2 linked regions of the Drosophila melanogaster genome follow. The protein of the gene in region 2 binds, or shares a complex with, the protein of the main gene of each other region. Each region holds a gene or a part of one and is shown on either strand. Other genes may lie near its edges.

Region 1 (3,752 bases), on a different chromosome or scaffold from region 2:
CTCGTTCCCGATCACGCTCCCTGTCCCGGATTAGACGTTCCCGCTCGTCCGGATAGAGGGTGTCTTCCGTTTCGAGGTCACGGTACTCGCGTCCTTGCAGCTCTCGTTCCCGCAACTCGCGTGCCTCCAGCCAGGCTTCTCGTTCCCGCGAGGAATAGCGGGCATCTAGATAGGCGCGTTTGTAGGCTCTAAAATAAGGAATTCCCAAACAGCGGATTAGCTAATGCCGATTTCGTGGCCATAAACATTAATGAGAAAAGGTTCCCGTTCTGCTACCTAGTTAACTATGTTCTAGGTAACAGAAAAAAGTAACCAAAATGGTACAGTTTCAGCTTTTCGTGGAATAGTTAAGTGCAGAACCTAAACCTACCTCTCCCGCTCCTCCTCGGAGTACAGTTCCCGCGGATCCCGCAGTCTGGGTGCATAATGCTCAGGCATGGGACTGAGGTCCCTGCGCCGATACCTTCGCATCTCGTCGATCAGCCCGTGGCCGTGTCGTTCCTCCAGATACTCTTGCTCACGCTCGTAGGGATCCAACTCGCGCTTATCGCGGACATGACGCCCGCTCCGTTCGCGCTCTCGTTCCCTTTCGACGGTGTCCAGCGATCGCTCCCGGCTGCCATACGGCGGAAGATCCAAGTCTCGACCGGGACCACCGCGTTTACCACCTTCCTCTTCCTCCTGACGACGCAACTTTTCGCGAGCCAAGCGTTCCCGCTCCCGTTGACGTTCTTGGCAGCGAGCCAAGGCCTCAGCGCGCTCCTTATCCCTGGCTGCCTCCCGTTCCGCACGCTCGCGCTCCCGATCCCGACGATCTCGCTCCCGCAATGAGAGATCGTGGCGTTCGCGCTCTCTTTCTCGTTCTCGCTCGCGCTCCCTTTCCCGCTCCCGTTCCAGGGACGGAGTACGTCCACGTGCGCGGGTCTGGATGATGATCTTCTCTCGCGACATCAGTTGGTGATGCATTCGCGAGGATGAGCTGCTGCTGCCGCCTCCAAGACCAGAACCTAAACCTTAAAGTCAAGCAAAATTAATGGGTTAGTGGGTTGAGCCTAGACATAACTATATGTAGTATCTGATAGTTACCTGGACTCTTTTGCCGCTTACCCACGATGTCCTGATGGATGCGAATCTTGGTGGTGGTGGTAGTGCTGCTGCTCGGCGGACTCCTACTGCTGCCCAATCGATGATGGTCTCGCTCTCTGTCTCGTTGGACGACGCGCAGCTTGTCCCGCTCCCGTTGCTCCTTGCTGGCAGCCCGTAGCCTCTTTCGCTCGGCCAGCTTCTTTAGCTTGGCTCGCGTCGTCGGCGACAGGGAACGATGGACGTGACCACTGAGGGCGGCGGCCGCCCGTTTCTTAAGGCGCGCTTCCTTCAGTTTCCGTTTGATATGATTTCGCTTGGCCACCAGCTTCTTTTGCACATGATCCCGTTTGTCTCGCTTGCGGCGCGACGACGATGGTTCATCTCCGGACGAGCTGCCGCCGCGCCGTGAGCTCTTCTTTTTGCGATGATGACGCTCCGCGGAGCGCGGATGATGCCCATGGCCGTGGGTATGGGGATGACCGTGGACGCTGCCACTGCCGCCGGGACCACCGGCGCCACCAGGTACGCCCACCCCCACGCCGACGCCGCCCACGCCCTGCTCGCTGTCCGTGCTGCTGTACGAGCTGCTCCCGCTGTCGGAGTCCGAGGTGGAGTCCGAGCTGCTCGAGTGCGTCGCACTGTGACGGGCGGCCTTCTTGTAGCGGCGCAGCGACTCCTTGGCCTTCTTCTCCATCGCCGCGATCTCCGCTAGCCTGCGCGCCTCCGTTTTGGCTGCTTTCTTTTCGTACTCCGGTCGAAAATCAGCACGGCTATGCGGCTTATAACTAGTTGCAGCGTGTCTTGTGGTATAATGTCCTTGTTCGGAGGCGCGGACTTGCCTTGTTGTCTATTTTGTTGGCGTTTTCTTTAACTCTTCTTCTTCTCTATTTTCCTCTATATCTTCGTGTTTGTTGTTATCGATAGTCGATTGGCAGGGCATCGCGACCATCGATTACAGTCAGCACGGCGGTACATATCGATCGGTATAAGTTTGAAAATATTGTTTATTATTGTATCACATTATTATAATAAAATATAATTAAATAATTAAGTGCCTTTAACTATAAATAAATATTAATTTAACATTAAAAATATTATTAAAATTAATAATATTAATTAATACTTGTATTTATATTAATATATTGTATTTTTGTAACAATTTCTGCTTAAAATGAGTTCGGTTTTGGATTGAATTACAATTTCTATATCAATTTACCGGTTCAGCAACGGGGATTCAAATCTGACTTGTTATCCATTTTTATACCCGTTACTCGAAGAGTAAAAGGGTACCCTAAATTTGTTGAAAAGTATGTAGCAGTCAGAAGAAGGCGTTTCCGACCATGTACAGTATATATATTCTTGATCAGGAGTCGATCTAGTCATGTCCGTCTGTCCGCCATGTCCGTACCTAGAAGGTTGAGATCCAGCATACAGATTCTAGAGACAAAGACGTAGCGCAAGTTTGTTGATCTTTTTTCGCATTTTTATTAATCTTGTAAATTTCTATCGATTTGCCCAGAAAATGATAAAATTTCGCGTTCTCACATCCACTAGCTGAGTAACGGGTATCTTATAGTCGAGGAACTCTCTTTAGTTGATTTAAATTCCACGCATCCAAAACATTGTATAAAGCAGCCTGTTCTACTACTCAGTTAAACTGAACTTTTCATTTCGAAAAGATTTTCAAATCCAGCTGGCTATGCCTCTAGTGTCAAGTCGTATTACGGGCACTTCACCGGCTTCTCCTCAGTTTTGCTACACAGTTCGACACTTCAACACCTCAACACCTCAACACCTCATCGCCTCGGCACACATTCTCTCTCAACAAAAAAAAAAAAAAAACACATATATTTTTATAAGTACACATTTTAACTTAAAGTCTCATTCATTCGCTCGAAAACCGATGAATTTGTTGCGCCGGCAGCCTCGGCTGCTGAATAAACGGAGCACGTGGCTGTTTAGAAATTACGTGTTGGCCAACAGGGATGTGTCCGAACCCGTTTCCCGTCCTGCGGCGCCTATGTCCACCCTATCGATACCCGGACCAGCGCTGGCTGCCGCCACCCCAGTATCCGCCGTATCCCTGGTACCCCGGTGCACCCACTCCAGCCTCCAAGGAGGTGGACAAGGAGCAGGTTAGTTCTAAGTGAAAAGTTTTCTGATTCCACAATTTTCTGGGTTGTCAATGACTTTGTCATAATGACATTTCATAAATGACACCTGCACTTATTGATATGCTTAACTGAAATTTCTATATTCATTAAAGGAGGAAGAGGGCTCAGAGGATCAGCCACCGGAGGATCAGCCGCCGGAGGAATCGCCACAAAACGACAGTACTCCGGAGGAGCAGCCCCCGCCGGAGCCGCCAAGCCGGGAGGAGCAGCCCCCGCCGGAGCCGCCAAGCCCGGAGGAGCAGCCCCCGCCGGAGCCGCCAAGCCTGGAGGAGCAGCTGCCGCCGCCGCCGGATCCGCCAAGCCCGGAGGAGCGTCCACCGGAAAGCCAGCTTCGGGCAACGCACCAGCAACGCCTCCACCTCCACCACCTCCTCCGCCTGCTAAATCTGCACCCCCAGTGAAAGCGAAGAAGCCGCGATTGAAGACCTTCGAGATCTACCGCTGGAAGCCCGGGGATCAGCCGCAGACGCAGACCTACGAGGTGGACCTGGA
Region 2 (3,752 bases):
ACCTGCCACAGCTCCTCGAAGGCCTGCGGCGGCAGATTGGTCAGGCAGCTTTGGTTTTGAGGTAGAAAGTTGAACAGCTCCTTGGCGAGCTCCCTGGAGGATCTGGCCTCCTCCTTTACACTATCCAGCATTGTTCGTGAGGGCGGCCTCGAGGCGGACACCTTTATTTGTGTCGGCAGGTCGGTAACGAAATCAATCTCGCGGTGTATATCACACAAAGTGGTACAGGTGGCCACACTCGCATTGGTCGGTACGTCCTCGAGCTGCAACTCCTGCTGCAGATCGCTCAGCGGACTCATGGGCTCAATTACGACATCATCTCGCCACGATAGCATTTCATCAAGTATCTGCCGAATATTTGGCAGGGGCTTTGGTTCGGGAAAGCATGTGCCCACATCGTGGTGCTTGATGAAGGAGGCTGTAGTGGTTCCCCGGGTGGTGGTGGTGTTCTTGTGTTGCGTGGCCTGGTTGCGCGTCTCTATCAGACCTTCCACTTGCACAGCAACAGAGCAAAGCGCGGGCTTGGGATCAGCGGGTTCCTCGTCGGTTTGCGTAGATTGGTTGACTCCGGGCTGATGGGCTTTCCGTTTGCTACGTGAATTCGGGCTCTTTGGCGTGGGCACGCTTACGTCTATAGTCTTGCAGTGCTCCCTTAGCTTCTTCATGATGTTCTGATCCCGCCGCAAAAGTCCACAATCGTCGCCCAGCCGCTGGGAGAACTGCATGAGTATGGACAGCACATCCTTGGCTTCCACGGGTAGTCCCCGCACTTGCAGCTGCTCCTGCAGATTCTCGCAGTTCCCAACCTGTACGTCCAGCTCCTTTTCCAGCTGTCCGCATCGCTCGCCGATCTGCTTGGTGCGCTTCTCCAGCTCGATCCTCTGTTGCTTCTCCTTCTGGTACAGATCCGTCACCTCTTGGGCGGTGCGCTGCAGGTCGGCCAGCTGTTTGTTTTGAGCCTGCAGCTGTTTCACCTGGCGGATCAGCTCGTCGTTCTGGGCTATTCGCTCGGCCAGCCGGCTTCGCTTGGCGTACACATCTTGGTTGCTCCTGGGCAGCGACACCTGCTTATACGGCGCCACCAGAGCATCTTGCAGCGGTGCGCTTGGGCCCAGAAGCTGATCTATATTGAAGTCGGAGAACTCGTCCAAATTCATGTTGCGCAGACTTGTTGTTGCTGGATTTCACGTGGTTGCGTGTTCAAGCGCCACTGCGGTTCTAGAACTTGCAGAAAACAAGGAGAATCCTCATTTTCCACACAATTCGCTAGTCGGTCACGAGTTGGACAATATTAAGCTGCGCATCTGGCGATTTAATACACAAAACAGAGAAATAAAACAAAATCCGCGTTTTTCTCTGCAGCCGGTCTCCAAAACATTTCCCTTATCGACAACCCAGCACGAGCCTATCGATATATATGGTATGGGACTATTTTATGGAACTCTTATAGGTCGTTCTCACTACTTCGTTTTTGATAGTTCACACTTTATTTATAATAAGAGGTTCGAATTATAGTTTGATAATATTGTAGAGGAAGTAAATTTTGAATTACTGATAATAACTAAATTTACATGATTTGCGTGCGTCCATTGAAGGGAAACAAATGTACTCTGAATCAGTGCGATTCCCTGCGTTAGGTTTAAGCCTATGGTTTTTAGGGCTATTTTACAATCTTTTAGAAAACATTGAGAGCATCATTACCAAAAATGGGGAATATTGAGAAAAAATCCAATTCATTTCTAGACATGAGCCAATTGTGACGTTAAAATTTGATGCATTGTTTTGCGCAAGCTACTAGACTGAGACAATTTTTGTTTAGTTTTTAAAGATGTATTCAACATATTCTAAAGCATACCCTCTTGAATACCCCTACCAATTGTAGTAGAGCAATTGATGATATCGATCACTTATCGTCTTAAGTTCCATCCCTAGCAGTTGCGGAAAATAAATAAAACTTCCGGACTGTAGAAGATTTTACTGAAAAAGACTCGATTTAAGCACACAACATGGCCGACGTAGACGACGGGTCCGAGCTGCTGTTCTTCGACACTTTCTCGCATGAGGAAGTGACGGTAAGTGCCTCCAGAAGCCCCCACTCGGTGCATTCGCTGAACCCCACTTCCTCCTCTCCTCATAGGACATCAATTTGGATTTGGTGCAGTTTCCCAAGCCGGTCTTCATCACACAGGTGCGGATCATTCCTCTCGGCGCCCGAGTCCAGGCAGACTTTCCCGGCGGCGTTCGCCTGGGCGCCACCAACCCCTCCAAGTTCGACCTGGAGTTCTTCGTCAATGACCTGGGAATGCCGGCTGCGTCGGCATTCGAGAACCTCGGCCTGCTGCGTTACAACCAGAACGACTGCATTCACTTGGATTGCTCGCAGGAGAAGATCGTCACCGACGGTCTGGTGCTGCGCGGCTGGTACAGCACCATCACACTGGCCATCTACGGCATTTTCACCAACTCGGTGACCGAGCCAATCGCCAGTCCAACGCTGCCCTGCGAGCCCGTGGGCCCGGAGATAGCCAACCTGAGTGGCGAGGTGCTCCTCCAGGAGGATGTGCTGAAAGACGAGTGGCAGGAGCCGATGCAGGCCGAACTGCTGACCGCTCACAAAGGAAATGTCAGCGATTACGATCCGGAGGACATGGAGTATGGAATGTCGCGGGATCATTACCACCAGCATGCCGAGGAGCAGGAGCAGCGAGAGATGCGACGACTGCGTCGGTCCACGCATTCCACGGATCACTCACCGCCACCGCCCAGAAGATCGCACACGCATTCGGAGAGCAACGACAGGGAGTACATCAGGTGGTAAGTGGTTATCTGTTTTATTTATTATATTCAGACTTATCACAGACCTTTCATTGCAGTTCCCGCGACAAGGGCTCCAGGGATTGGTCGCGTTCACCGGAGTATTCCAGCCATCGGTCACGTCGCAAGCGCTCCGAGAGATCTCGCTCCGTTGTGGACGAGCACAAGTGGCCCAGAACCCCGCCCGCGTCGATAGACTCACCGACACGTCCGCGTTCGCCAGACACGATGGACTACGAGGACGAGGACTCGCGCTCCCACTACAAGATGCAGTCATCTCACTACCGGCACTCCTCCGAGTCGCTGCACCGTGGTGAACGGGATCGGGACGATGAGGACCGATCGTGCACGCCGCAAGAGCAGTTTGAGCCCATTCTCAGTGACGACGAGATCATCGGCGACGACGAGGAGGACGACGCAGTGGATGCGGCTGCCATTGCGGAGTACGAGCGGGAGTTGGAGGCTGCTGCTGCCGCTGCTCCTCCGGCCATCGATGCTTTCGAGCCGTGGCAGAAGCCACTGTTGGTCTTTGAAGGGGACATGGCAGCCCACTTCTGCAAGGAGCTGGAAACTCTGAAGCTGCTCTTTAAGAAGCTGGTCCTGCAAACCCGCTGTGAGAATGTTAATGCCTTCAGCGAGGAACATGGCGCTAGTGTGGACGAAAGGGAGCAATTTGTGTACTTGGGTGAACAACTGAACAACCAATTGGGTTACCTAGCCCAGCACTACAAGCGGAGGAACTTTGTCCTGCAGCAGTTCTTCGGAAACGATGAGCTACATCTGCGACAGGCGGCTAACGTGCTGCAGATTGCCCTGAGTTTCCAGGCGGCATGCATGCAACCACAGCCAGCTTTTAAGATCCGCCACATCAAGCTGGGTGCGCGAATGGCTGAACTTCTGGGCAGTAGCGAAGAGCTCTTCCAGCACTTGTTGAAAGA

Evidence for each region. The genes of interacting proteins can lie anywhere in the genome.
Region 1: vir (region 2) and Flacc share a complex: the UniProt entries of both Drosophila melanogaster proteins name them as parts of the WMM complex.

Annotation. Positions count from the first base shown.
Region 1 is NC_004354.4:18,891,673-18,895,424, forward strand, and holds the start of Flacc (Fl(2)d-associated complex component), read right to left. Parts: upstream 1,965-3,752; 5' UTR 1,781-1,964; coding exon 1,087-1,780; intron 1,014-1,086; coding exon 371-1,013; intron 189-370; coding exon 1-188. Other genes in the region: SdhBL (succinate dehydrogenase, subunit B (iron-sulfur)-like), read left to right, coding at 2,990-3,221, 3,353-3,752. UniProt on the Drosophila melanogaster protein: Associated component of the WMM complex, a complex that mediates N6-methyladenosine (m6A) methylation of mRNAs, a modification that plays a role in the efficiency of mRNA splicing and is required for sex determination.
Region 2 is NT_033778.4:23,364,509-23,368,260, reverse strand, and holds the start of vir (virilizer), read left to right. Parts: upstream 1-1,905; 5' UTR 1,906-2,006; coding exon 2,007-2,072; intron 2,073-2,137; coding exon 2,138-2,814; intron 2,815-2,873; coding exon 2,874-3,752. Other genes in the region: Ice1 (uncharacterized protein), read right to left, coding at 1-1,157. UniProt on the Drosophila melanogaster protein: Associated component of the WMM complex, a complex that mediates N6-methyladenosine (m6A) methylation of mRNAs, a modification that plays a role in the efficiency of mRNA splicing and is required for sex determination.